4 linked regions of the Diceros bicornis minor genome follow. The protein of the gene in region 3 interacts with the protein of the main gene of each other region in a biochemical or structural test. Links are inferred from orthologs where the notes say so. Each region holds a gene or a part of one and is shown on either strand. Other genes may lie near its edges. The genes, in order: IRF1, MECP2, SPI1 and IRF4.

Region 1 (7,413 bases), on a different chromosome or scaffold from region 3:
AAGAGCCCCTCTATTAACAGAAGTGCCTCCTCTCATCTCTTCCCTGGCCCCTCCTGGGCTGAAGTCCAAGGCACACACCTGTGTGAATGGCCCAGCTCCGGAACAGACAGGCGTCCTTGTTGATGTCCCAGCCATGCTTGGCCGCGTGCTTCCATGGGATCTGGAAGATCATCTCCTCCTGAACAGCACACACACACACACACACACACACACACAAGGCTGTGTCAGCTCAGAGACCACAGGTTTTTGGCCTGAGTCTGCCCAGCCCCCCAGGTGTGGGAAAAGGCTGACTTCCCCTTTTCACCCTGACATCTGGCTTGGGTTGACCCATCCTGAGATTGGCTTAAACCAGCTACTCTATCACTCTGGATCTCTCAGAAGGGGCTCTGGGTTCTGATGAGCTGTGGTACCATCAGCTCAGCAAAGACCTCACTCTGTCTGTTACAGATGTGCTGGAACCCATACAGAGCTCCCTGGGATGCTTCTCTCTGGCTTGTCAGCATCAACATGGAAGTGAGAACTCCATCAATTAGATGGGGCTGCTTAGGACACCTGGGACCACTGGCTCCTACACAGGGGGTCCTGGCCCTACACCTGAGGGAGCCCTGGGCCAGACTTGGATGCTGACTACCTGTGTGATCCTGGCACTGTCACTGTTCCTCTTTGTCCCTGTCTTGTCTTCTATGGAATGACAAAACACAGTGACAAATATAAAGACTAAGGTCTCACTGTTGTTACTGGTGATTAACAGTATGGATTTTTGAGTCAGACTGATCAGGTTCAAATCTTGGCTTTATCACTTTTTATGTGATCTTATTTTCTACTTCTCAGTGCCTCAGTTTCCTTATCTGAAAATGGAGATATTAATAGGATCTACCTCACAGGGCTATTTTGAGGATTAAATGACACAATGTAAGTAACATACTTAGCATGGTGCCACACTCCTAGTGAGTATACAGTAAGCATTAGCTATTATTATGAATACTATTATTACTATTAAGTCTGCAGGGTCTGTGTTGCCCTTTGTGCACCAGCAAGAGGCTTCTTGGGCCTGGGCAATGGTGCAAGGTTAATTCTTGGGTCCCCTGCTGAGCCAGCCACCTTCCTGCCAGCAGTGCCCACTTCTCTGTCTCCCATCAGTCTGACTGGAGCCCTGTAGGATGCTATGTGTGTTTGTAGGAGTCTCCCTCAGAAGAGACCAGAACTCCAGCTCTGCAGATGCTGGCAGAGCCCTGCTGCTGGGAACTGTCAGTGCCCTCAGGTGGGTGCCCTGTCCATACCCTGAGGAGGGAGAAAGGCAGAAGTTGGGCAAGTGGGGCCCAGGGCTGGGCCTCCCACACCCCCTGCATGCAGGAGTCACTGGGAAACACAGCTGCCTGCTCCCTATTACTTCCCTTTTCGAACTGCATCTGAAGCTTTGGTCCCCCAAAGAACATGGGTTAAAATAGCGGCAGACAAACCCAAAGAGTTACACTCACTTTATTAATCCAGATCAGCCCGGGGATTTGGTTGGAATTAATCTGCATCTCTAGCCAGGGTCTCATGCGCATCCGAGTGATGGGCATGTTGGCTGTAAAGAGAAGACAGAAGGCTCCTGTTTGGAATCTATTGAGCAGCCATAGGCACTACCCTGCCCCACCCCAGGTCATTCAGTTACCTTCCCCACCTTCAGCCAGGTCCCAGGTACTACAATCGTGAGGAAAGGGGCTTTCACTGAAATAAATCTGCCCTCCAACTTCTGCCCCTTCCCTCACCCCCTCCTAGAGAGCCTTGGGAGGAGACAGGCTTGCAAGTGATAGTTTCAGGATTTATGTGCAGGAAAAAGAGGCAAAATACACAGGAATCTTAATACCAGAACTTTTCTCCCCAAATTCAAATCCTTTGGGAAGGGAGGGGATTCTTTTGCTTGATGCCAAGAAATGTCCCTACTTGAGTTGTTGCCACTGGCTGTGCACCTTTCCCGAAGGGCAAGCAGTCACCCTGCACCCTGGGCATCCTCCCCCGACCCCCATCTATTCTACGCCTCCCTGACAGCCACAGTACAGAGGCCGGGACGCAAACCCTTCCTGCCTGGCTCCCCTCCTCGGCGAAGTGGCCCAAGAAACACCTGTGGCGCCTCCTCCCGCAGCTCCAGCAGGTCCTCCAGCCACCCAGGGCAGCAAGCCCCAGCCCCCGCCGCTTGCATAGATAGCCTGAAACCTGGGGCCTCGGCGCGGAGCTGGGACCGCCGAAAGCCGCCTTCGGGAACACAGAGCGCCCACGCGCGGACGTACACTGGAGTTCCCGGCACGGCTTGTGGATGCGCGCAACGAACACTCCGGGCCACCTAGAGGCCCCCGGCAGCTTCGCGCATACAGATCTGAGAAAGCGACCGCACGCCTGCAACCTCTGCCGGGTGGGCGGTCCACGCCGCGGTCCGCCCTCCCCGCGCTGCCGCTCGCCGCTCCTCCAGCGCCCTCCCGAGACCGCTCGGGGACCCAGACAACGCCGCGCGCCCGCGACTCTCCTGCCTGGGGTTTTCGGCCCCCACTTTCTGGTGCCCAGCGCCCTTTTGTTCGACGCCACCGGTCCCTCCGCGGCGAAGGCGGCTCACCTCTGCAGCGGGCGCGATCCGGTGGCGGCGCGCGATCCGGTCCTGGCGCAGCGGGAGCTGCTATGCCGGCGCGGGGAGCGCGATTCCGGGTGGGAGCGAAGGCAGAGGATGCCCGGGTCGCGGGGCTGCTGGGCACGGCTGGCCTGGGCTTGGCACGGCTCCTGCTGGCCTCTGCTCCGCGCGACTCGGACGCACGTCCTGCCTCGACGAAGGAGTGGCGCGCTCTGCCGGGGCAGCGGCGCCGGCGAGAAATCTAAACACTTAGCGGGATTCCCCCAACCCATGCTCGGCCCCGCCTCTAAAGAGCCGCGAGGACGCCGATTGGCCGGCGCCGCCACATCATTTCGGAGAAATCAGGCTGTTGTAGAGCTAGCGGCGAAGGGGAAGTACAGGGCGGCTGCTTCTCCCCACCCCCTCCGGCCCGGCGCCACCGCCCCGGGGCGTCCGCGGGCCCGCCCCGCCCTCTCCCACTCCACCCCCACAGCAGCTAGCCCGGGAGAAAGGCTGTCCTGGAAAGCCGAACACCCTCCGGCCCCGCGGTTACTTCCCTCACTCCGCGTTCTCCCAGCCTGCTAGCTCCTGTGGCTGTCTCTTCACTCTCCTCTCCGGAGGTGGGGACATCAATCTCCAGAGCGCAGGTGAGGGGGTCAGTCGGGCACCTGCCGCCCTCTTCAGAGTGAACACCAAGATGGAACCCCTGAAAAGTAACCTGGTTCCTCAGGCCTGTTAATGGGGTGTCAAGAAGGGAGGATTTCGACCCTCACACTGCCCCCTTTTTGAGGGGTGACACACCTCCAGATCACTCGCCTGCCCTGGGAAAGTAAAGGAAAGCCTACTCTGCCTGGCGTGCTGCTTGGGGCTGCCGGACGAGAGGAAATCCCAGGCTGGCTGCTGCTGGCACAGCCTCTGGACCTCAGTTTCCTCAACTACGAAATAGTGATAGCCCTACCTTGCTGGTCTACAGTGACAGAGAGAGATGATGTCTCTAAAGCTCCATGCTTTTTGGGCAGCAGATGCTGCATGGTTTGCAAGGTCCCTGCTGGGAGTACAATAATGACCAGGGAGACACCTCTCCCCCTTTACCGTCTACATCCCTGGGACTGCCCCACGTCTGGCCTTAGGGAAAGAGAGGAGAATTGTTTCAGAGAATCAAGGACTGCTGAGCTGGGGTGGGGTAGCCTTGGTCCCTCCTAGCACTCCTGCCTTAGGCCACCTCCACATCCTCACATGTCCTTTGCCTGGGAGCTCCTCAGTGGCAGCCTTGGTGTTGTTTCTGGGTCCTCAAGGCTTGGCCCAGAGAGGTTCTTGGCAGCATGAGGGCATTGCTTATGGCTGGCCAAGGCCATGGGTCTAGCCAAAAGGTTGGGGAGCCCAGGCCCCAGGCCACTTGGGAAGGGCAGCTACTTAACTTGTGTGCTTACTAGACCTTGCTCCACTTGTACTTCTAGAGGCTGTGCTGTGTTCATTTCCATGCATAACTGTGGCCCAGCAGGCTCCTTCCTTCAACTCCTCAAAGGTGCTGACTCAGAAGTAAATCACTCTTCCAGGCAGGGCTGGTTGTGTCACTCCCCAAACCCCAGCTCTCCTTCCACAGCAGCACCCAGTTGCAATGATGCAGTCTATAAATAGACACATTGATGCAGCATTCCACCTGTCAGTCACTCTACTGCCTCCCTCCCACAGAGGAGATGGATGGGTTAATCCAATTCTGGTGCCCCAGAATCTGATGCTGTGAATAACGCCAAGCTTGGTTCTCAGGAGACCAACAGGAATGGGTCAGAGCTGTCTCCAGACAGTGGTGGGTGCAGGAGCTGGGAGAGGGCAGAGGCAGGAGGAACTGTGAGGAATGAGCCTAGCTGGGTGTCAAGGAGAAGGGAAGGTGCTGAGGCCCTGGAAGGGGGAGAAGGGGTGGAGTGCTTTAAGTGACAGATAGGAGTGGGAACCCACTACAAAGACCAAGACCATCTGAGCAAGAAGAGCAGAAAACAAGTGGCTTCAGAATTGTGAAGTCTGTTCTCTGTGCAGCAAATGGATGCTTGTCCTGTCTCTAAGAATCTGACACGGCCATGGAAAATTCAGAATGAGATTAGGGAGAGGAAGTTTGCAGCTCATGTGGTCTGAGAAATTAACCAAAATGACCCTATGAAGGCAAGAGGAGACTGTAAAAAGTGCTTTAAAACAAAAACGTTAATTCACAGATAATCATCTATATGTGCATCTGTATATATAATGAGCATCTTTCCATGTCATGAAAGGTACTTCTGCAATATCATTTGTAATGGGTACGTATTATTCTATCATAAGGATAAGTAAAAATTTACCCAATTAATCCCCTATTGTAGGACATTTAGGTTATTTCCATCTTTTCATAATACAACACTCTGTAGCTAAATCTTTGTGCACATCAATAATTTTTTGCTTAGGAAAAATTCCCCAATGTTAGGATTTACCAATGAAATTGTCATTTACATCTTTGAAGTGTTCTTTGACTTTTTTTTTTTTTTTTACTTTTAATTTTAGGGATTCTTATTTTATCTTGAAGTCTATAAAAATCCACTTATCATGATTGGGGGTGCTATATGCCAAATCAGCGAAATAAAGCTAAACCCTATTTAAGCACCTCAAATTTTTATTGTAACTGCTCTTAATGAATCCCATTCTAAGATGTAGCACACATTCCCTGTGACACTAAGCAGAACACATAGAATCTTCCCTAGGTATTTCTTAGTAATTCACGGTGGGCCCTTTCCCCTCTCTGCCTCAAAATACTCATCGTCTGTAATTCCAGCCATCCCCTCTGGGCAGGTGACTTCCAAACCGCAGCTCCAGCTGCCTTCTGGACACTCCTCTACAACCCTCTCCACAAATTCACACACACACAAGCAGAAGTCTTTCCACCCCTTTCCACACTGTCCCCAGCAGCTTTCTCTCTTCCTAATTCCAGCTCCCTCCCTGGTGAAGTCTTTCCCATTTTCCTCCCCTCTTGGCCTCACCTGATCCTCTGGGTCTTCCTTCCTCACATCAAATCATGTCTTCACGTTCCAGGACCAGATTGTTGTGGCCACAGCCTCCTCTTGGGCCTCCCTCCCCATCAAGCCTGCCCCTCCTGGCACCTCTGCACTAGGATGATCTCCCTAACTTTGATGATCTCCCTACTATTCAGGTCCACCCAGGAGCATTCTGAGTTCCCCAAGACTCCTTAGCCCCACATTCAAATCATTGCTCGCTCTGGTCCTAGGGGTCCCATTCCAAACTTCTCTTCCAAGGCTCTGCTACCCTTGGCAGTAACTAAAGGGCGTTGGAAAGAGAACACAGGATTTGAGTCTGAAAGCTGGGTTTTTGTACTTTTGCTACTTGCTGTGTGACCTTAGGCAAGTTACTCTCCCTCTCTGGGCCTCAGTTTTCTCATCTGTAAAATAGAGATACTCTCTGCGCATCTCTCCTAATTGTTGTGAAGATGAAATCAGACAGACTATCAAACTCCTTTCTTTTTTTTTTTGTGACGAAGATTAGCCCTGAGCTAACATCCAATGCCAATCCTCCTCTTTTTTTGCTGAGGAAGATTGGTCCTGGGCTAACATCTGTGCCCATCTTCCTCCTCTTTATATGGGATGCCACCACAGCATGGCTTGACAAGCAGTGCATCGGTGCGCGCCCGGGATCCGAACTGGTGAACCCCAGGCCGTCGATCCGAACTGGTGAACCCCAGGCCGTCGAAGCGAAGTGCACACACTTAAGGGCTACACCACTGGGCCAGCCCCTCAAACTCCTTTCTAAACTGTAAAACATTAGTCAAATGACATGTATTAACAGTATGCATGAACCTTTCACTGCATTTCCATTCTCTGAACACAGTTTGTATGTTCCCCCTTCTGGGGAACAAAGGCTGAATTTTTCTGCAAGAGACCTGAGCAGGTTCCTCACACCTGCAGCTGGAGTTAGCTGGGGGTTAGCTCTGGAGCAAGGTCTCACTCACAGGATGCCTCCCATCTATACTGTCACTCAATGAGGGTAAATATATTGTGCAGTTTCTCGGTATGGGGCCCTGTGGTGCCTGGCAGGAGGCTGACTGGCTGGCAGAGCCTCCTTTGAGGTGATTTCTGCAATCAGGATGCTGGGGGCAAGATCACCCGTGTGGGAGCCTCTTCCCTGATGGACCAAATCTTGTCCCCAGCCCCCTCCCTAGGCTCTCAGAACACACTGCACCCGCTACGTGGGCTCCAGTTAGTCCTGAAGTGCAGGACCCAGCAAGGCTTTAACTAGGTTTTTGAGAGTAGGGCATCCTTGGGCCCCTGCAGGGGCTTGCTACCCAGAGAAGAGGCCACAGTCTCCAAAGCAGATGAACCCCCAGCAGGCGATCCAGCCTCCCAGGTCCAGAGGGAAGGCTCTCTTAGATGCTCCAAGTCCCTCCCAGCCATCATCTCTATTTTCACAGCAAACCTGGGAGGCAGGCAGTCCTAAACTGTGAAGTACAGAGCACCAGTCAGGCATAAAATCATCCGAAAGCACTCAAAAGCTTGAAGACAGAATCCAGGCTTAATCACCCTGCCTGAAAGGAGCCTAGTTGGAGAGAAAGAAAGGCGTTTCTTAATTCATTCAACAAATATGAATCGCACTCCTGCTCTGGGTCAACTCCAGGTTTGGCCCTGGGGATATGCTGGGGCACGAGACGAGCCCCTCCCCTCTCACAGCTCTGGCAAAAATGCTGTATGACACAGCAGAATAAACGTCGTGGTGTTATAAAAGCCCTAAACGCAGAGTGGGAGGCTGCCGCTGGCTGGGAAAGCACTAGGGGGTCCTGCATTGTAAGAGTGGGCCGA
Region 2 (6,917 bases), on a different chromosome or scaffold from region 3:
TCCTCAGCAAAAAAAAGAGGAAGATTGGCAGATGTTAGCTCAGGGCTGATCTTCCTCAAAAAAAAATAACTCTCGTTTATTCAAGCTAAGGAATTTAGCAAGACTCTCTTCATTGGTTTTCTCTTTTGAAAATGTCTTGACTTCTAGTCTTGTACACTTACTCTTCCTGATCAAAAGTAACTTGTTGCAGTCTATAAAAACTCCTGGATTTTGACTAGTGCAAAGAATTTCCAGATTAATTTATGAGGAGATGACATCTTTATGATGTCTACTCTTCCTTTCCAGGAACATGGTAGTTTCTATTTTTTTTTCAGGTCTTCTTTTATGATTTCCAGTAAATTTTTATTGTTTTTTAATGTAGGGATTTCGGCATTTCTTATTAAGTTTATTCCCAGCTGTTTTAGAATTTCTATAGCTAGACTGAGTTGAATCTTTATTTTTTCCCATTACTTTTTCCAGCTTTTTATTACTGGCTGGGTCTATATGCCTGTGTCCTAACAACCAGGGAATAGACTTGAGATTAATGGGTCTCTCTCCTCATGGTGAAACTCCAAGGATGAGGTGTCAAAGAGAATGGGAGGAGAGGACACTTGGGTGTTATGTCCCACGGATGATGTTGCACCTTAGCTCTTGTGCTGTTTCTTGCTTTGTTCCTACTTAACACCATTAAGTATGATGTTTGCTCTAAGGGTTTTACAGATATTACCTTTGATCGGACTAAGGAAGGCCCCTTCTATTCATAGTTCCCGAAGATGTTGTTGTTGTTGATTATAAGTAGGTGTTGAATTTTATCAAATGCTTTTCCTGCATCTAATGAAATAATCATATATTTGTTCTCCCTAAATCTGTTAAGGTTGATTTTCTAATTTTTTATTTTATTTTTTTGGTGAGGAAGATTCCCCCTGAGCTAACATCTGTGTCAATCTTCCTCTGTTTTGTATGTGCGTCGCTACCACAGCATGGCCACCAACGAATGGTGTAGGTCTGCCCTGGGAACTGAACTCAGGCTGCTGAAGCAGAGCGTGCCAAACTTAACCACTAGGCCAGGTGGCTGGCCCCTGATTTTCTAATTTTAAACCATCTTTGCATTCTTAGGAGAAAACTCAACATGGTTATGATATATCATTACATACTGCTGGATTCAGTTTATTTGTCTAGAATTTTTACATCTATTTCTATGTCTTCTGTCATACTTTCATTGGCTCCTTATAGTAGTTACATTAGTCTCATAAAATAAGTTTGGAGAGATTTCTTTCTTTTCTGTTTATCACTGGAATTACCCACTCATTAAAGATTTGGCAGAACTCATCTGTAAAGCTCTCTGAACTTTTTTGGGAGGGGGAGGGTAGATTTTAAAATATATAGTCAATTTCTTTGTGGTTATAGAGAGCCTGTCCAGGTTTTCTGTTTCTAGAATCAGTTTTGGTAAGCTGTGCTTGTCTGGGAAGCACATTTATTCATTTTGCTTATGTTTTCCAATATACTGACATACAGTTCTTCATAATAACCTTTTAAAAATTTATCTGTTTTATCTATTATCTAGTGTATAATCTATTGTATCTGTGGTTACATCTCCTTTTCATTTCTAGTGCAATTTGCTTGTCTCTTATCTCCTTATATCTAGCTTGGTAGTGGGTTGGCTTTTCAGCTTTTCAAAGAATCAGCTCTTGATGTTCTCAGTCCTCTCTATCATTTGTTTCTGTTTCATCAATTTATGCTCATTTTAATTTTTCTTCCTTCTAGTTTCTTCAGGTTTACACTGTTGTTCCTTTTATAGCTTCTTGAGTTGGATGTTCAGCCTGTTGACTGCTTGTTGACCCAATTGCCTACTCAACATCTCCACTTGCACATTTAATGGGCACCCCAGGCTTAACATAGCCAAAACAGAATTCTTGATCTCTACCTCCAAAAATGTGCTTTTCCTACAGTTTCCCCCATCATGGTGAAAGGCACCCTTTCACTCAGTTTCTCAGGCCAAAAACTCAGGAATCATCCTTGTTTCTTCTCTTTCTCTATACCCTACATCCAATCCTCTCTGCTTGTGTTTTTTTTTTTTTTTGGTGAGGAAGATTAGCCCTGAGCTAACATCTGTTGCCAATCCTCCTCTTTTTGCTGAGGGAGGTTGGCCCTGAGCTAACATCCATACCCATCCTCCTCTATTTTATGTGGGACGCTTGCCACAGCATGGCCTGACAAGCGGTGCACAGGTCTGCTCCTGGGATCCGAACGTGCAAACCCCGGGCCACCAAAGCAGAGCGTGCAAACTTAACCACTACACCACCAGGCCAGCTGCATCGATTTTGAAAACATTGCTTGAATCTCACAACTTCTCAGAACCTCCACTGCTACCACCCTAGTTAAAGCCACTATCACCTCTCCAAGACTGTCGCCAGGGCCTCCTGACTGGGCTCTTGCTCCTAGTTTTCTCCCACCATGGATAGCTCTCCACACTGCACCTACAATATAGATCTGATGATGTCAGCTCCCACTTTAAAATCCTCCAAGGGCATCTCATCTCAGAATAAGCTCCCAGTTCCCATGGTGGCTCCAGATGCCTCTCCAACTGCAAACCCTATCACTCTCTAGCCCTTGTTAGTCCCCAACATGCCAGGCATAGTATCTCCTCAGGGCCTTTGAACTTGCCAGGGATGTTCTCTCCCCAGAGATCCATATGGGGAAATAAAACGAGGGCAAAAGTCTATGGATATCTAAATAGCAACCCCTTCACCCTAGCTTTATCTATCTCAAAGCCCTTATTACTATATGACATTATATTATATGCTTATTTGTATGTTTAGTATGAATCTTCCCCACAAGAATCTTAGTTCACTGTCTTGTTCAGTACTGAGTATCCAGAGCCTGGAATAGTGCCTGGCACATAGGAGGTATTTAATAAATGAATGGGTTGGGGGAGCCAAATCAGAATCAGAAGGTTCCTTGTTAAGCACAGAAGCAGCACAAGGAGCATTAGATGAATTGGATGATGGCTGGATCAGAGTCAGGTGGCTTTGACAAATAGTCCTGTCCTGATCACCCCGTTGGCTAAAACTTTTCTCATACTCTTAAATATTTTTCCAAAACGGAACTGCTGGATCTTAGCTCCCAAATCATCTCTTCTAGGAAGTCTTCCCTTTTCCCTCGAGGCAGAGCTAAGTGCGATTCCTCTGTGCTCCCACTGCCCCTTTTCCACGCCTCCACCAAACCATCTGATCCACCAACGACAGGACTCGTGCAGCCTTGGCATGCACCGTCTTCCCCCACCAGAGGTTCACGAAGGCCAGGGCTGTGATTTGTTGTCAGTTTATTCCCTGTCCCTATGAGAGTGTGGCACAAGGCAGGCTCAGATGAAAGAATGCAATGGGTAAGCCTCTTAAACCAAGGTCCCTCGGCTGGAACAACGTCAGGCTCCGGGGCAGGCAACTTTGCTGCTTCTACTGAAGATGATGACATTGAGAAAATGCAGGTGCAGTGAACCGCTTACTGCCGCGTATTTTGGGCGTTTGTGGACAGCGCGGGTCAATGGCCCGGGAGGGCCGCGCAATCAGGCGTCCGAAGCCTAGGCCTTTACTCGCCCCAGCATCCGCAAGGGCCCATTAATCCTTAATATTCAAATTCCGCCCACTAAACCAGCCCCTCCGCGCCCAAGCCACCTCTTTTCCCCCAAATGACGGCTGACGACAGCCAATCGGCAGCTGGACAGGGAGTCCGCCCCCTTTTCCCTGGCCGGAATGGACACCAACTCCCGCCAATTGGCGGCGTCACCGCCGAGACCCCGCCCTGCCCCAGCCGCCGCACCCAATGGCGAGCGGGCTCGCGGCGGCGCCGGGGGCGGGACGCGGGCACGCAGGTGCAGCAGCGCGCAGGCCGGCTGGGAGGGCGGGGCGCGACGTCGGCCGTGCGGGATCCCGGCATCGGCGGCGCGCGCGCTCCCTCCTCTCGGAGAGAGGGCTGTGGTAAAAGCCGTCCGGAAAATGGCCGCCGCCGCCGCTGCCGCGCCGAGCGGAGGAGGAGGAGGAGGCGAGGAGGAGAGACTGTGAGTGGGACCGCCGCGGCCGCGGGTGGGGACCCTTGCCGGGGGGCGGGGGGTAGGGGCGGGACGTGGCGCGGGAGGGGCCCGCGGGGTCGGGCGACAAGGCTTGCGGATGGCGTCCCTCCTCTCTACCCTCCCCCTCCCGCCGCCGCCGGTGACGGCTCCCCCCTCGGCCCGTCACCCGCACTTGCGGGTGACCGTCGTCGGCGCGGCCTCCCAAGGCCGCCGTCGCCTGGCGGCCCCCTTCCTTCCGCCCGCCTTCGGCGCGCATCCCGGCCCCTTGCCCGGCAGGCGCCCCTGTTGCCCGGGCTTCGCCTGTCGGGGCTGCGCGCGCGTCGTGCCCTTCGCGGGGCTTCGGGCCCGCGGCGCCGTCGCGCGCCCGCGGCCCCGGCCTCTCCCTGGATCGCGCTCTCCCCTCTCCCTCCCTCGCGCGCCCCCTCTCCCGTTACTCGGCCCCCCCACCGGCGCGCGTGCGCAGTCCGCCTCCCTTCGGGAGAGTGCGCCACAAGGGCTCCTGTGCTCTCACCCCCATCTCCAGGCTTTGCCTCCCCCTCCTTCTCGCCTATTCCATGACTTTCTGCCCCCACTGCGAGCGAGTCGGTCCACCATCTCTTTTCCCATCTAGCAAGAACAAGTAGGTGGCAATTATCGTCCACCCACAAAAGGGACTAGACAGTGTGTTCCTGGTCCCACAACTCGTCATAAAGAGGCGGTTATAGTTCCCTTTAGGAGCCGTGGGTAGGGCAATGTGTGTCCGGCAGCACCTGAGGCTCTTCGGTGGGAGCATGCCCCCAGGGTCTTTGGGGGTGCTGTGGCCTCAGAATATGAGCGCCTTCCCATCCTCCCCCCCTTCACCAGCGATCTTCCAGTTACATAAGTGGAGTGGGACATAGTATGTAACGGGCTCCCATAGACCTGGAGCGCGCCCTGCTCAAGATCACCAGTACCAGATGAGGCAAGTTCATCGCATCGCTGTGGTTCCTGTCAATTGTCCCTGAAAGTTTGTTTTCTTTTTAGTTTGGTTATGACTGAATCACCCAAACTGAAACTCAGGTGACTTTTATGTGGCGTGCCAGTGTTTGTGTGGTTTTGCACTGAAGACTTAAGGTCATTGTGAAGAGTCTAAAAAGATTGCTCTCACAGAGGAGACCGACCGACCGTTTATGACATTGCTAAGTGTGGACCCGAGGGGGGAAAAGCTTGCTCTGGAATACCTCTGTGGCGGTCGCTTGGTGTGGATTGGTTACAGCAGAAATGGGCTCCACCACAAAATTGATATTCCTGACTCATGGTCAGGCAGATGTGTGCTTCTGGTTATTTTTCCAGGAACAGGAATGGGCTCTGCAGAACCATTCACATGTTGTGCCTCTCCTGTGCAGGATCAGTACCCCAAATAGATGGTAGGATGGAATTCAGGGGGTGGTTGTGATCGTGGAACCAAACCTACCAGCGTGTGATGCTAAGTGGCTTAGAATTTGTAGGTCTCTCACAAGTTTTAGGTATTTTGTTATACTAGAAATATGAAGCATATTTGGGCCTTGGTAGTAAAACTCACTGTTAATAGGCAATTATTACTCTAGAGGATAAATTTGGGTTTCATGGCTGGAATTTTTATCTGGATCTCAGTGATTTCAGTTAACAACGAGATTAAGCTGACCTCTTGGGTCTTTTGAAGTATGCTGGATCCTTACCAAAAAAAGCCCAAAAAACAAAAAACCAGGGTCTGGATTTTTTAGGTCTTTTGGAAATCTCTATCAGAGATATAGGGAAATAGGCTTATTTATGGGCTTTTTAGGACTTCTACTTCAAATCTCAGTCAGGAAGCCTATGAAACACTTTTATTTTCTTATCCGGACATGTCAGAACCTTAAAGGGCACAATCAATCTGGTAGACATACAGTTGATTAAATAAGTCGCCACAGATCACCCTATCGTGGCATGTCAGCTAGGTGGCAGATCGGTGAGGTTCATTCTTGTCCACACACAAGACACACAAGCCTCGCTTGACGAAGGTTCCAAGGTTTGTACCTCTCAACCTGAGACATGACAGGACGAGGGCTCTGCTTTGTTATGCTTCATTGGCAATGCGTTTGCCTCCTCGGGTGCCCCTCCATTTAGCTGTTGGTCGTACCCTTAGCCCTTTAAACAGCACAGCTTCCAGAATATAGTTCTCTGCAAGGTGCCTGGTGGCATGTAGAGTGTGTGTCCTAATAGCTCGAAGAAACCTTCTACACTTTCTTGCTGGTACTGGCCTGTCACCCTGTCTTTTTCTTGTTGTTACAAATTTGCCTGGAATGCTTTAAACCTAGAGTACCAGGTCTTTGTTTCACCTGATAAAGCATGACGCAGTCAAACCTTTCTCTGACTTTTGTGCTGTTTGTGTATTGGGAGGGTTAGAATACAATTTTGCATTCTATTTGCAATTTCCAGCCAGAGTCATTGTTTCCCCGCCTGCCCTGCCTGTGAGTGGCCGAATCTAGTGGGGTGAGGAGGCAAGCTGTGGAGTTTGACAGAAAAACTGGCTAGATGAGTCCAATATGATGTTGCCCCCACTGGAATACTCCTTCCCCTATGTGGAAATGGAATGAGAAGCTCACTTCTTGAACCCAAAATAAAGAAGAGCAGAGGTGAAATAGTTTCCACCACTAATGCCTGGGACTGTTTGCATGATAAATGATGTGTCTTGGAACCCATAATCTTTTAGAAAGGTGAATATCAGTGGAAATCTTTTAATTAGCTAGGAGCAGTTTGTCGCCAGGCTGCCTGAGTTATCTATGAGGAGAGAATTGTAGAAAATGTTTGACATTTGTAGTAACTAGTGTTTTAAGCACATGGGGTAAAAACATAGTCCTAGACTGGCAACAAGTTCCAGGGAGTGTGGCAGGAC
Region 3 (7,009 bases):
GAGATGCTTCTGGAGTGCTGGCAATGTTTTAGTTCTTGACCTGGATGGTGCTTACATAAATGTTAGCTTTATAATTATTCTTTGAACTGTACATAAATGTTCTGTACACTCTTTTGTGTGAATGAGATCTCTTATGATTTAAAAATATCACAGTCCATCCAAACAGTGGAATACTATACAGTCTGTAAAAAGGCTAAGACAACTCTATACGCACAGGCATGGAATGGATTTAGGGAAAAACTTCCCCAGAGGGAAGTACAATGTGTTTAGTATGCTGCCTTCTGTGTAAAATTAAAAAAAGAATTAATCTGCCTCTATGCTTGTGTCTGCTTAAACTTTTTTCTAGAAAAATACACAAGAATCTGGTAACAGGGGTACTCTGTGGAAGGGGAACTGGGCAGTTTCCCTTTTTGTACCTTCTGGATTTTGTACCTTATGTATATATTACCTATTCAAAAAATAAAATAATTAAAAAAAATTTTTTTTGGCCTCTCATTTCCTGGAGCCCCCAAGATTTTTGGTTTCAAACCAATTTCTTGGCGACAAGCAGGAGAGCCACAGCCCAGGCATGAGGCACGTGGCGACCCCCAGCAGGTCGGGAACCCTCTCTGAGCCCCGTTTCCTCTGCTGAGGAAGAAGGAGGCTGGGCACGTGCTCCTCTAAGGTCCCATCGCCTCCCAGCCACCGGCTGTTCCGTCTCCTCTCTCCCTTGCTTTGTCCTCCTCTCCCGCCGTCCTCGTCCTGGCCTCTCTTTCTTGCCCACTTCTCTCTACTCCCTTCTTTGACTCTTTCTCCTAGTGTTTTTCTCTTTCCCTTCCTCACCAGTCCTTGCTGTTTTCCCCCCCGTCTCTGCCCTTCCTGCTTCTCCACGCTTGGCTTCTCAATCTTTCTTATTTGTTTGTTTGTTTATTTATTTATTTTGTGAGGAAGATCAGCCCTGAGCTAACATCCGTGCCAATCCTCCTCTTCTTGCTGAGGAAGACTGGCCCTGGGCTAACATCCGTGCCGGTCTTCCTCCACTTTATATGGGACGCCGCCACAGCATGGCCTGACAAGCGGTACATGGGTGTGCGCCGAGGATCCGAACCCGGGCCGCCAGCAGCGGAGCACGCGCACTTAACCGCTATGCCATGGGGCCAGCCCCTCAATCTTTCTTCTTGCTTCCTTCCTCCCCACTAGGATCCAGCCCCTCCTACAGCCCCAGAAGGCTCTTCATGCCCCAGCTCTCCACTCACAGCTATGTGACCCTGGGCGAGTCCCTGCCCTCTTGGGGCTCAGTGTAACAACTGGTTGTCTTGGTTATGTGTGATCACAAGGGCAGAAGCACCCAGCACAATGCTGGGCACTCAGAAAATAATTCTCCCTCTTTTAAAGGAGCTGTTAGCCCTGGGGCTGTGGGTTATCGGACTCTTCCTGCTCTGCTCAACATTGCTTAGAACCCGGATCCTACTATCCCGAAGGTCTCGGGAAGAGGCCTCTGGTGCACTTTGGGAGGAGGGATGGTGGGAGGAAGGATGGGGAGGACTCGGTGTGTGAATGGACACGGACGCTGGTACTACACAAAAGCGAGAGTCATTCTGCCCATTTCCAGAGATTTGCAGCCCTGGGTCTTTTTTGAGCTTCCTTACCCAGGCCCCTTGGGCCTGGCCAGACTTGGGACAATGGAATCTCTCTCCTCTCCTGGGGCCTCTTGAGACTTAGGCCTCAGGAACACCTAGTCGACCTGGTCTGCTGCCTGCATCCATGGAGAAGAGCACTACACTCCCTGCTACAACCAGCAAAGGCTCCCTGGTCGCCTCTGGATGCAACCCAGGCTCCTTGGCTTGACACTCAAGGCTCTTTACCTTCCCGGCCTGTCTTGCTTCCAGCCTCAAGGATGGCGGCTCACTGTCCCCTTGTTCTTTTCCACCTCCTTGCCCTTGCCCAAGCTGCTTCCTCAGTCAGACATGCCTTTTCCCTTGCCTGCTTTCCTTCCCGTGGCCCTGACCAAACTAATTGTTCCCCAATGCACCCGGCACCTCCCTCTCTTGTGCCCCTACCTCCCCAGAAAACCATACTGTCTGATTCCATGTCTGTTCTCTCTGCAGGCCTGTGAGCTCCTGGAGGCACGAGGCGTGCCTCATCCATCTTTGTGCCCCCTTACCAGGCCCAGCACATGGAAGACCCTCAATAAAAAGTCAATGATTAAATGACTGAATGAGCAGCTAAATAAGCACATAAACAAACTAAACCAAGACAATAATGCATGCATGCATGAATGAATGAATGCATGAGTACATCAAGCAGGACCTGGTTCTCATGGAGTAGACTCACCCCCACACACATCCAGTCAGCTGGGACTTGGCCTTCTTGATGAGGAAGTGGGGAGCAAGGATGGAGCTGATGTCAAGTCAGCCTGCCTCTCCTCTCCTCTTGGGGAGGAGCCTTGGTCAGGTTCCTAGGCAGTCCTGAGAACTGATGACCTGGACCCCTTGGAGAGTTCCAAGTGCAGATACAAAAAGTCAGTGAAGATAGAAGTGAAGTAGATCTAGTGGTGAGCCCAGATCTGTGAATCCCTGGTCTTTGCTGCCAGTGAAGAAACACTTAAGGACCTGGGATTCCACTGACAGGAAGGAGGCAGGTCTTAGAGGGAAAGGGGTACAAAGCAAAGGGTTAGACTACATAGAGGAGGAAGTTGAATGCTCAAGAAGTTTTTCCCTCACAGAGTGAACTCACCAGAGATCATTGGATCAAAAAATGTCTCCATTCATCCATTTGCCCTCCAGACTAGATTAGGAGCTCTCTGAAGACAGGGATCTTGTCTAATACTTTTCTATTTTCCCAGCATTCAGCATAGAGCTTGGAACTCAATTAATATTGGAAGGATGCATTGATGGATGGATGGGTGGATAGGTGGATGGGCGGGTGGGTGGGTGGGTGGATGGGTGGATGAGTGGATGGGTGGGTAGATGGATGGGTGGATGAATGCATGGACCAATGGATGGTCCAATCTATTCATGGGTGAATAGATTGATAGCTGGATATAGAGTGGATGAACAGATGGAAGTATAGACTGGTGGATTAATAACAGATGGATGGCTAGATGGACAAGTAGATAGACAGATGGGTGGATAGATGAATGGACTAACATATAAATGGATGAATGAATGGATAGTTAGATAAATAGACAGATAAATGAATGTATGGCTGGCTTGATGGGTGGATAGATGGACGGACAAATAGATAAAAAAAAATAGATGGGAAAATAGATGAATGGATGGACAGACAAGAACTCAGGTTTGTAAACAAGGAGATTATATTGATATTCAGGCATTGGCAAGGTGTGGGGAAACTGAGAGATCTGGGCTGGGAATAGAACCCCTAGGGATTTGGAAGAAGCAGTGGTCACTTAGGAAGCTGGGAGAGGAGGGTATAAGAACCTAGGACTCTCCTCTGGTGGAAGGGAAGCCAGGTTGAAGGGGCTCAGAGGAAAGGGGCAAGTGGCACTGTGCTGAGGACCCTGCCCCTGAGCCCAGCCCCAGCTTGAGTGGACTCTAGGCATTGGGTGCCCAAGGCCCAGAAAGAGTCAGGCTTGGCAGTCAGCGGGATCAGAGCCCTCAGCCAGTCAGGCTGACCCCAGAAAGTAGAGGCCCCACGAGGCCACCCATACCAACTCTTACCCCAAGGAAGTGACTGTTGGCCACGTGGGGGTCTCAAGAGAAGTAGGCATGTGTGGGGTTAGGGGTTTGAGAGCCTCATCAGGGCCCTGGGGCAGCAAAGGCCTCCAGGTGGTAGAGCTAGCCTTCCTCCCCTCCACTCTTCCTCTCTAGCCTAGCCCCCGAGGCCGCCCCTCACAGTCCCAGCTTCCTCTGGGCAGGGGGCCTGGCCCCCATGGCCTCCCAGGCCAGCCCCTGGAGCACCACCTGCCCCAGCCGGCCAGAGACTTCCTGTAGCGCAAGAGATTTATGCAAACGGGCTGGGGCGGTGATGTCACCCCAAGGGGACTATCTCCCAGTGGCAGGCCCTTCGATAAAATCAGGAACTTGCGCTCGCCCTGCAATGTCACGGGAGGGGGCTCACCCAGGGCTCCTGTAGCTCAGGGGCAGGCCTGAGCCCTGCGCCCGCCCCGAGTCCCTCCAGCCCCGGACGGGGCGCCCCATGCCGAGGGGCTCCTCACTGGCCCCCACCGAGGCAGGGGACCTGACCGGCTCGGAGCTCGGCTGGATGTTACAGGCGTGCAAAATGGAAGGGTTTCCCCTCGTCCCCCCTGTGAGTACCGGGACTCCTCCACTAGCCCAGCCCGGGGCCCTCGGACGCCCGCCAGCCTGCCCACCAGCCCGCCAGCCCACCGGCTGCCCTCCTGGCTCGCTATCAGTGGGAAGTTGGTGTTTCCTGCCTGGAGCCCCTGGCCTGAGACCCAGCGAGGGGGCCATTGGCTTCCTCGGAGCATGCCCCGGCGGGCGGAGGGCTGGGCCCATGGTGGGGCTGTGATCGGTGGGGCCTGAACGGTTATTTATAGATGGGGCTTGGGTGGCAGGCCGAGCTCCAGGGCAGGGTGCTGGGCGAGGATGGTGAGGGCGGCGGCAGAGAGGTGGCGGGGAGGAGATGGGGAGACTGGTGTTGGGGGAAGCCGGTCCCCAGGACAGTCAAGGCTTGAGGGCGGGAGGCAACAGGCCAGAGTCATGGCCCATGGCCTGGGTGCTCCTGGAGACTGAGGTTGCTTCAAGTCTGGCTCCCCAGCGCCCAGTCTGGGGCCTGGCACAGAGGACATGGTTGTTGACCGAAGGGTCTGGGCCTTGAGCCCGCAGGTCCCCGAGAGGCTGGGGCAGGGGCAGGGCTGGAGCAGAGAGTGGCGCTGAGACTAGGGTGGCAGTTAGGGTTGGGGCGAGGAGGGCAGGGACCAGGCTGGGGACATCCTGGGGCTGAGATTGGGGCTGGGGTAGGACCTGGCCAAGTGTGGGACTGGAGTTAGGGCAGGGGCTGAGGCTGGGACAGGACTGAGGCTGGAGGCGAAGAAGCAGGGCTCTCAGGGGACCCCAGGAAGGGAAGGCCACCAAGCTCCTGCTCTCGGTGACAGTTGCAGCCTTAGGCAGGTGTCAGACCTGGCCCGCTCTGAAAGGACCTCTCTCCTTCTCCCCACCCCATCCCCAGTCAGCAGAGGTGGGGAGCCCTGAGGGGAGCCGGGAAGGGCTTGGCAGGGCCTGGCCACCTGACTCAGCTTTCCCGGCCTAGAGGCAGCTCCCTTCCTCCAGCGGCCTTGGAGCCCCGGGGTAGCACCCCAGGCCTGACGTCCCACTACTGGGCTTGCTGCCCGGAAACCCAGTGCTGGGCTCCTGGCCTCCTCACTCGGCCAGACACAGACAGGACCAGCCAGCCAACCCCTACCTGGCCCTGGCCCACCCTTCCCAGACCTGAGACCAAGAAGGTGGGGGGCAGGCAAGGGGTGATGGAGGTGGTCCCAGGAAGAGCCGGGGGGGCTTGGCCACACTGTCTCTGATCCTTGACCTCTCACACCCTGAACTCCAGGGAGAGTGAGGCAGGAGGCACATCTTCTTGGGCTCCCACACCAAACCCCTCAGCCCCGCTCCACAGGCCCGGGGCTGCTCTGAGTGACTCCTGGGAGGGTGGGCTCCCAAGGCAGCCCTGGCCCCCAACCCAAGCCCTGAGGGCCAGAGTAACTGTTGTGCAATCCTTGAGTACACGCTGCGGGGGTGGGGAGAGGCCTGATGACTGTTGGGAAGGCTCCGGGTGTGCATGTCCCTGTGTCTGTGTCAGTGAGTGAGGAGGAGGAGGGGGAGGAGGAGGAGGGAAGAAGGAGGATGAGGAGGAGGGAATGAGGAGGACCGGGAGGAGTGAGGGGAGGAGTGAGGAAGGGAAGGGAGGAGGAAGGGGTGTGGGGAGGAGGATGAGGGGTGAGGGCTGAGGGTGAAGGGGAGGAGGGCAGGGAGGAAGAGAAGGGGGCACCTCAGTGAGGGTATCCGGAGGAGGATGGAGGAGGGAGGGTAAGAGGATCAGGGCTCCGGCTGTCCCACGGCCCCCAAAGCCTTCCTGGGTGAACGCTGTCAAACCCATCAGTGTGGATTTGGCCACTGGTCATCCTGGTGGCCCTGAACCTGCCTAGGGCCTGGGCACAGGCTGTGAGGAGAGCGGGGGGCTGGGGTGGGGGCTTTGCAGACTTTGGCAGGGAGGACAACCGTGTGCGCTGTGCGGATGAGTGTGCCAGTGGAATATGAGTGACTGTGGAAGGGTACAGGTCTGAAAGTGAGTGTTAATGGGCTTGAAGGCGAGTGTGGACACATGTGTTAGTCCGAGTGACTGCGTGTGCCTACAGGGTGAGTGTATAATGGTGTGTGTGGCCACAAACGTGTGTGAATGTGAGTGACCCTCAGAGTGAGTGTGAGTGGACGTGTGGGTGTGAGTTCACAAGTGGGTGTGTGGGCACAAGTGTGTCATAGGGAGTACGTGTACGTTTGGGGGCTGTAGGCGTATCAGGGTGGGCGTGAGAGGGTGAGTACGTGACTTGGGGACCGGGGCATGCAGTGTGAGTGTGAGTGTGAGGTAGCTGTGGGGAAGGGAAGGGAGGGAGGCCGTACTCTCCCCCTCAGCCCTGGTCCTCTCTTGACCTCTGACCTCCAGGGTCACTGAGGACCCCTTTCTGCGGGAGCCAAGGCTCCTGCTCTCCTGGGTCCCCTGCTCTCCTGGGTCCCCTGCTCCCGCCCTGTGTGGCTTCTCCCAGTTCCAACCAGAGAGACGGCTGCAGGCGGGATGCAGCTGCTCAGTGGCTCAGTCTGGGACGGTGGTGTGGACCCAAGATACTGGGGGCTACGACCCTGGCTGGGGTCTCCCCGCCACAATCTGTGTCCTGACACCCCCCTCTCTCAGCAGCCATCAGAAGACCTGGTTCCCTATGACACGGATCTGTACCAACGCCAAACGCATGAGTATTACCCGTATCTCAGCAGTGATGGAGAAAGCCACAGCGGTGAGTCCACGGCCCCGCCCTGCCCCCACCCCCAGCCTGGCCCGGGCA
Region 4 (6,865 bases), on a different chromosome or scaffold from region 3:
CTAGGAATTGCATTTCTAAAGGAAAGAATGGTGCTTAGGTGCTTCAGATTTACACTGTTGCTCAAAATGTGAGACAAAGAGACCCCAGGTGTCCTCCAGGTAAAATACTTTCCACCCTGGACCCTATCATCGCTGAGCTGAAGGCAAGTGGTTTGAACATTCCCTCGGTATTTGTAAAAGACAGGTGAGATGTGGAGGACCGCTGGAAAGGCTACCCACCCAGTGTCTGAAGCAAGTTTGATTGGAACTAGGGACAGAGCTGTGGCTGAGCTGCTACTTGTAGAGCACATGTGGACAGTCAGACCATCTGAGGTCTCGTGAGGGCAAAGTCCCTGAGGAAGTCCCCGTCCCTGCTCTGCCCACAGGTGGTGGGGCTGGGCCCTGATGCACAGTTCAGTGGGTGCACTGCTCTAGGGAGAACCGTCATGAGAGGGACACACACACCGAGGGCAGGAGAGAAAGGTCCAGAGAGAGGACAGCGAGTAAGAAGAGAAAGAGAGAGAAATCCAAAGGGGGTGGGGAGGAGAGAGGGGAAGAGAGAGAGTGACAGAAAGAAAGAGAGAAACACACAGTAAGATGGAAAGACCCAGAAGGAAAGAGAGAGAGAGAGAGAAACTCAGAGAAAATTTTCCAGAAAGACTTGGAAAGAGGGAGTCAGACAGAGGGAGACAGAAAGAGGAGAAGCAGATGGAAGGACTCAGCTAGAAGGAGAGAGCACGTGCCAGAGATAGAGACAACCAAAGGAAAAATATCCAGAGAGAGAGAACAGGAGAGAAAAAACAGAAACAAATACAGACTAATGAGAGAGACAGAAAAACAGACACAGACTCGAGCACACTCCGGGTGCTCCCAGAAAGAGACAGACACACACACTGATCAAAGAGGCAAGGAGGGATCCAGAGGGACAGAAAAAGGCTCCGATGAGAACAGTAATGCACTATAACACCCAAGCCAGCGTCCTTGGACGCCGCTACCCGGGGTTAGCCTCCAGGCATTTCCCTGCCGCTGGAGCCGCCCGACTCCCTGGGTACTGCTCACATCACACACTCAGGATTGGGACCCGGTCCCCCCATTTGTGAAATCACTAGAGTAGTTGACACCTCTCTCCTTCTCCCGTGGCTTGGGCCGATCGCCACCTGATGCTCGCGGGCCCCTCGCCCTAAGGGGCACACACCGTCCCGCGCACCCCGTGTGGTCCCCTTCCCTCTGAGAACCGCCGGGCGCGCCGGCGCGGGCCGGCCTCGCCGCGGGGTGGGGGTTAGGGACCGTCCGGGCTCTCCGGGGCCCTCTCCCATCCCGACCGTGGGCTCCCCGCGGGCTTGTAACCTTGAAGAGGGCGGCGTCCTCCTCACGGTTGTAGTCCTGTTTGCCCGCGTGCTTCCAGGGGATGCGGAAGATGCTCTTCTCCTCGTTCTCCCACACCAGCCCTGGGTACTTGCCGCTGTCGATCTGGTCGATCAGCCACTGGCGGAGTTTCCCGTTGCCGCAGCTCACGGAGCTCATGCCGAACTCTCCGCCTCGGCCGCCGCCGCCCTCCAGGTTCATGCCCAGCGCGCCGACTGTCGCCCTCACGCGCTCAGGATCCGCCTCCGGCACTCGCTCTGAGCTGCAGGGGAGAGGAGGGCCGCCTTTCAGCCACTGCGGCACAGCGCTCGGGGCACCCTGTCCCAACCCCCTCTGGTAATGACCACGAGGTGCCGGAGTCTCCGAGGCAGCGAGGCGCGCGCGCTAAGAAGTCGGTGTTGCCAAAGGCCCTTAGGAGAAAGCACCTTCTCACTTGGCCCGGGCTCGTGCCCTTGGCGCGCACAGTCCTGACGCCTCCCGAGCGCGCCCTCCGTGGAGTCCATCCTTCTACCCCACCTTCTGAACTTTCCATTCTTGTTACGCACCCCACAGCCCAAGTGCTGCCCGGACACACAACTCTCGCCTTTGCGCACGCTCCCAAATCCAGCCGCCACCACTCTTGGCACTCCGTTTGCACGCTCACTCGTAGTTCCCGCTCCTCTTAGCCCAGTCCCAAGCCGACGCCAGTCCATTTCCCCCTTCACTGTCAGTTTCCACTCTCGCCCACTCCCCAATTCACACTCCCCTGATGGCCCCCGTGCGCCAAGGATCTCGCACGCGGGTTCGCCTGCGGTCGGGGCGTTCCAGGTGCGCGGCACTCAGCAACTCCTCCTCCGGCCTTCTAGAACCTCCCGCACCCGCACTCTTTGTTCCAAGAATATCCCTGAGCCCTCGCCAGATAGCAAGGATTAAGTGGGCCTTGGAAGCAACAAGCGATAGACACCTGGTCTTTGGTGAGGAGCGCTGCCAAGTAGCGGGAGATTCCGGGACGCCGAGCGTCAGCCGGACCCAGAGGCCCGCGAGGAAGAGCGGAGGCAGGGAGGGTGCCGGGGAGAGCGAGGGACCGCAGGGCGCAGCGCCCCGAGGAGCCCATATTTGGAGCTCCTTCTCCTCCTCCACCACTACTCGGGGGGCAACGCGCCGGAGGCCGCGGTGAGTTTGGGCCCCTTAAGAACGAGGAGCAAGAGAAGGAGCCTCGGATTGGAGCCTCGGGAGTAAGGGACTGTCCCCCGCGGGAAAGCCCGCCACCCCGTGTGGGTCCCTTCGACTGCCCCGCTTCGGCCACTCCTGGGGCTCTGACAGTCTCGTTATCCCGTCCCGCGCGTGGCCTCCCCCGGCCCGGGCTGGGCCGACTGCAGAGTGGTGGGGCCGCGGGAGCAGGGAGAGACGGCGGGAGTGCTCGGGCAGCGACCTGGGCGACCCTCCACCGAGCCCGCACAAAGGCCCCGGACCCAGAGCAGATAGGGGGAGTCGGGGATCCCTCAAGGGGCGTGCTCCCTCCCGGCTCCGAAGCTGGGGTCCCCTGCGCTGCCCTGGAGATGGACCCCGGGACCTCTGGTCTCGCGCCCCCGGTTCTCTGTCGTGCCACCCTCACATCTATGCTGCTGCCCGACCCCAGACCTTACCTCGCCCCGACTCGGAGCTGAGGGCAGCGGTGGGTCCTAAGTTCAAGCGGTGAAACTAAGATTCAGAGGTGGGAAAGAGGAACTTTATAGAGCTTAAAAGCCGCGCTGGGGGCGGAGCCTGCGGCGGGCGGGGCCGGTTGCGCCCGCGGGGCTGGGGGGCGGTGCGCCGCGAGAGGAGAACGAGGGCTCGGCGGGCGACTCCCAGGGCCCGGGCCAGAGGAACGGGGTCCGGGGGGGTTGCCGCCGCAGGCTGGGGGCTCCGGCGCCCTCGGCGACCCGCCTCGCGCCGCGCAGAGCGAACGCACCTCGAGTGGGGCTCGCGCGGCCTCGGGGACCCTCACTCTGGGCGGTTTCCTGCGAAGGACAAGGCGCGAAATGGGGACCTCGCCTCCGCGCCAGGACCTGCGGGAGGCCCGTCGACAACTAGTAACAGCTAAAGACAGCGACACGGTTAGGGCGGGAAGTGGGGGGCGTGTAGGAGCGGGAATCCGGTGCGAAGGGGACTTCGCTTGTGGAGCACGTAACCAAAGACGGAGGAATTGTCCACATCGAGGAACTGTGGGTGGGTGGGTCACACCCAGCGAGGGGTGACCCTCGCTGTCACCGAGAACCCTGCTCCTCCACGGTCTTTAGAGAACATCGTGCTCATTAAAAAGAAAAAAGGAAATGGCCCAGATCCCTTGAGCCATAAACTGTGGTTCAAATACTGTCCACATGTTCGAAATGCTTACACGCTCTTGCATCTATTAAACTGGTGAATTGAGGTGACTCAGATAGACAATGCATGACCCCCAAAGTTTCAATTATGGCAACATGAAAGAGTTGGGGGAGGGATCCCGAAGTATCCCAGCGCTTAATTGCTTCTGCACTTCAGTTCACTTTAACTGACATGGTTTTAACCTCAACCTGGTAGGAAGCAATCTGGGGTATAAATGTCCGCAACAGGAGTAACATCCAAACGGACCTGCAATTTTACTTAATTTTCTAGGATGCCCTTATTATCCAAACTAGCTCCCTGACCACTGCGCTTTCGCCGGAGCGTCTTGGATGCTCCGAGCATGTTTACGTACTTAGCGATTGCAGGTAAACCGTCAGATCAGCGGTTTCTATATGATTTTAGACCATCGCCACCGCAGGTCAACTTGCAACTTTTGAAAAGCTTTTGATTTCACTTATTTCTCAGTTTTTCTTTTAATCTTATATATTGGGTCAATGTCTCCTACCCAAAGAAAAAAATAGGGTTAGGCTGGAGCAAAACAGGCCGTGAGTGAGGCACAGACTAGAAATGCTTTTCCTACAACTAACGGACTTTCTCAGAAATTCACAGGATGCCATATTTTTATTCACCCAAGTAAGTTTTCCATTATCAGAGTCTGTGTAATAAACAACAGGGTTTTGTTCAAAGAAAATTCTGGTTACACCCTGTTTTTCTTCTCCTTTCACAGATTCATTCATTCCACAAACATTTTTTGCGCACCTGCTGCTTGTCTGGAATGGTTGTAGGCACTGGGATACTCAGTGAAGGAAGCAGAGATCATGCCTCCATGTTGCATTACATTTTAATCAGTGAATTACTTTTCCCCAAGGTGTTCACAAACAACAGACAGAAGGAGATTGCTAAAAACAAAAATGGCAAATGAGAGCTTTTAGCACTTTCGCACACGTGTTCTCTGCACCAGCTTTAGTTAGTTTCAACATTTTCCTCAGTCATCTCCTTTTAGAAGTTCAAAACAACACCGGCTGTATGAAACTTTCTGAGACTTTACAACATCTACCTTGTTTTAAAATGTGATTGCTAATCTTCAACGCCATCTTCTGGTTTATTCATTGTCATATTGATCTACTGGAAGTGATTTTTTTTTTTTATGATGAGGTGAATACAAAGAATAATATATTTTAATCACTAAAACTCTTGATGTCCTCATCACTCCTGGGGAAGGGGAGGGAGTGAGCAGGTAGGGGCTGCCAGTTGCTCACCAAAGACATCTTAGTCACAGTCGAAAGAAAAAGGACAAAAGTTTTTAAAGTTGACCTTCCCCCCACACACTTGAGAAATCAAAGTGTTCCTCAGTAAAAGATAGATAGTTATCTTCAAATGTCACAACTTGTTAAAAAGTGCAAACAAATAGGAAATCAGTAAATTGAATATCTACCTAAGACAAAGGCTGATCATGATATTCTGCAAGGAGGTTATTTCAGTGAATGGTCCAGATGTGGAAATGCCATTGTAGGTGGAGCCCAATCTGAACAGAGTGCTGCAATTTCCAATTCACATTTATTGTAAAGAGACTATAAGAAAAGCTGAATTTACCTAAATTCAATATTTTAAAAATCAGTCTTTTAAAATTTTACATTCACATGTAAGAAAATATTTTAGAAAAACCCATACTAGGCACAAAAAATAAATTACTGAAACCCTGTTTTGGATAAAAGTATTTTCTCACTAATTCATTCTTTGAAAGGGGAGAGTACTACAATTTGTTAAAAACAATGCAACTATATCCGTGAAAAAGGTTAAAGGGCAATCATTTTTAACTACCTGTAAAAAATCAGGAAAATACTAAAAATGTTATGATGTAGTTCATATGGGATAACTATCTCCTCTAATGCTCTTTGGCTATATGTGTGTGCAATGCTAATTATTATCATTGACCATGGTATCTTGTATGGCAGTACTATTATACTATTATTGTATTATTATATTATTTTATAAATAGTAATATATCTACGTAATAGAGTAATATACAATATACTATACTAGAGTAATATAGTAATATACTATAGTATGTACTATACTATACAATGTACTATAGTACTATATAATATTAGTACTATATATATTATATTATATATATTATATATATAATAAGTACTATAGTACATTGTATGGTATAGTACTAGTACAGTGATATATACTACATATTAGTAGTATCTTATAGTATTGTATTTAGTAGTATTATTGGATGGTATTATTGGTAATTAAATGCTCAAATACGACAGTCAGCTAGACCTGGTTGAAATCCGTGAGGTCTTGGGTGAACTATTTAACCAAAGTCTTACCTTCCCAGGTACAATGAAGGCAATGGCTTTCTTGCCTCCTCGTATGCTGTGATAACGAAATGATGCTTAGCACAATGCCTCACATGTTCCAAGTGTTCAACACATCGGGACTATTATCATTTATGTTTTGCTTCAACATTTAGGAAGACTATATCTCATTTGATCTCCCAACCCCATCTGCCTGGAGGCAGGGCAGGTGATATTCAGCCCCATTGTACAGATAAGGAAAGAGATTCAGAGATTCACTGAGGTCCGGATGGCTTGCCAAGGACACCTTCTGACGAACTGTTCTTTTTCCTTTCTACGGGTATTTGGCTGCCTGCTGCACTGATATTTCAGGATCAGCCTGCGAGTGCAGGCCTGTGGGTCTGGAGGTGGCGTCCTGACTCCAGTCTGGCACTCAGTGGGTAAGTCAGTGTGGGTAAGGTGCAGTCTTCTGACCTCGTTCTCCTGTCTGTGAAGTGGAGGTTGGCAGTAGGCAACCACTGAACCTTCTTCCAACCCTAAATCATTGTTTTCTTCTTTCTGCTCTAACTTAAACTATTATTGGCAGCCAGTGGCCTTGTTGGTTATGGTAAATTCAGAGTAAGAAAAGCGGCATTTTTTTAAAGCCACTGACCTAACCACTGATCTTCTCTTTGCTCTTCTTCTCAAAGCAATATTCACTTTGAGGAAATTGGAGGAAACAGTGCTGATTCTCAGCCAGTTTAATCCTCTGAAAAAATCTAACCTTCTATGCTACTAATACAGGGGAGGTTTTGGGATGGAATACTCTGGAAATGAGTATCGTTTATTATGAGTAAATGCTCTCACTGCACACCCAGTTTGAAGAAGTT

The links.
Region 1: the proteins of SPI1 (region 3) and IRF1 form a complex in vitro, tested with the Homo sapiens proteins (2 studies listed by BioGRID). The link is inferred for Diceros bicornis minor from reciprocal best matches to the Homo sapiens genes SPI1 and IRF1.
Region 2: the proteins of SPI1 (region 3) and MECP2 form a complex in vitro, tested with the Homo sapiens proteins (2 studies listed by BioGRID). The link is inferred for Diceros bicornis minor from reciprocal best matches to the Homo sapiens genes SPI1 and MECP2.
Region 4: the proteins of SPI1 (region 3) and IRF4 are reported together in a solved structure, tested with the Homo sapiens proteins (2 studies listed by BioGRID, with this or other methods). The link is inferred for Diceros bicornis minor from reciprocal best matches to the Homo sapiens genes SPI1 and IRF4.

The regions. Positions count from the first base shown.
Region 1 is NC_080740.1:51,801,802-51,809,214, forward strand, and holds the start of IRF1 (interferon regulatory factor 1), read right to left. Parts: upstream 3,024-7,413; 5' UTR 2,594-3,023; intron 2,377-2,593; exon of another isoform or gene 2,274-2,376; intron 2,215-2,273; exon of another isoform or gene 2,200-2,214; intron 2,188-2,199; exon of another isoform or gene 2,108-2,187; intron 1,571-2,107; 5' UTR 1,566-1,570; coding exon 1,479-1,565; intron 179-1,478; coding exon 79-178; intron 1-78. UniProt on the Homo sapiens protein: Transcriptional regulator which displays a remarkable functional diversity in the regulation of cellular responses.
Region 2 is NC_080781.1:138,164,827-138,171,743, reverse strand, and holds the start of MECP2 (methyl-CpG-binding protein 2), read left to right. Parts: upstream 1-3,906; 5' UTR 3,907-3,971; coding exon 3,972-4,033; intron 4,034-6,917. UniProt on the Homo sapiens protein: Chromosomal protein that binds to methylated DNA. It can bind specifically to a single methyl-CpG pair. It is not influenced by sequences flanking the methyl-CpGs.
Region 3 is NC_080770.1:23,047,910-23,054,918, forward strand, and holds the start of SPI1 (transcription factor PU.1), read left to right. Parts: upstream 1-4,000; 5' UTR 4,001-4,137; coding exon 4,138-4,248; intron 4,249-6,861; coding exon 6,862-6,961; intron 6,962-7,009. UniProt on the Homo sapiens protein: Pioneer transcription factor, which controls hematopoietic cell fate by decompacting stem cell heterochromatin and allowing other transcription factors to enter otherwise inaccessible genomic sites.
Region 4 is NC_080753.1:65,928,853-65,935,717, forward strand, and holds the start of IRF4 (interferon regulatory factor 4), read right to left. Parts: upstream 3,011-6,865; 5' UTR 2,970-3,010; intron 1,607-2,969; 5' UTR 1,546-1,606; coding exon 1,327-1,545; intron 1-1,326. UniProt on the Homo sapiens protein: Transcriptional activator. Binds to the interferon-stimulated response element (ISRE) of the MHC class I promoter. Binds the immunoglobulin lambda light chain enhancer, together with PU.1.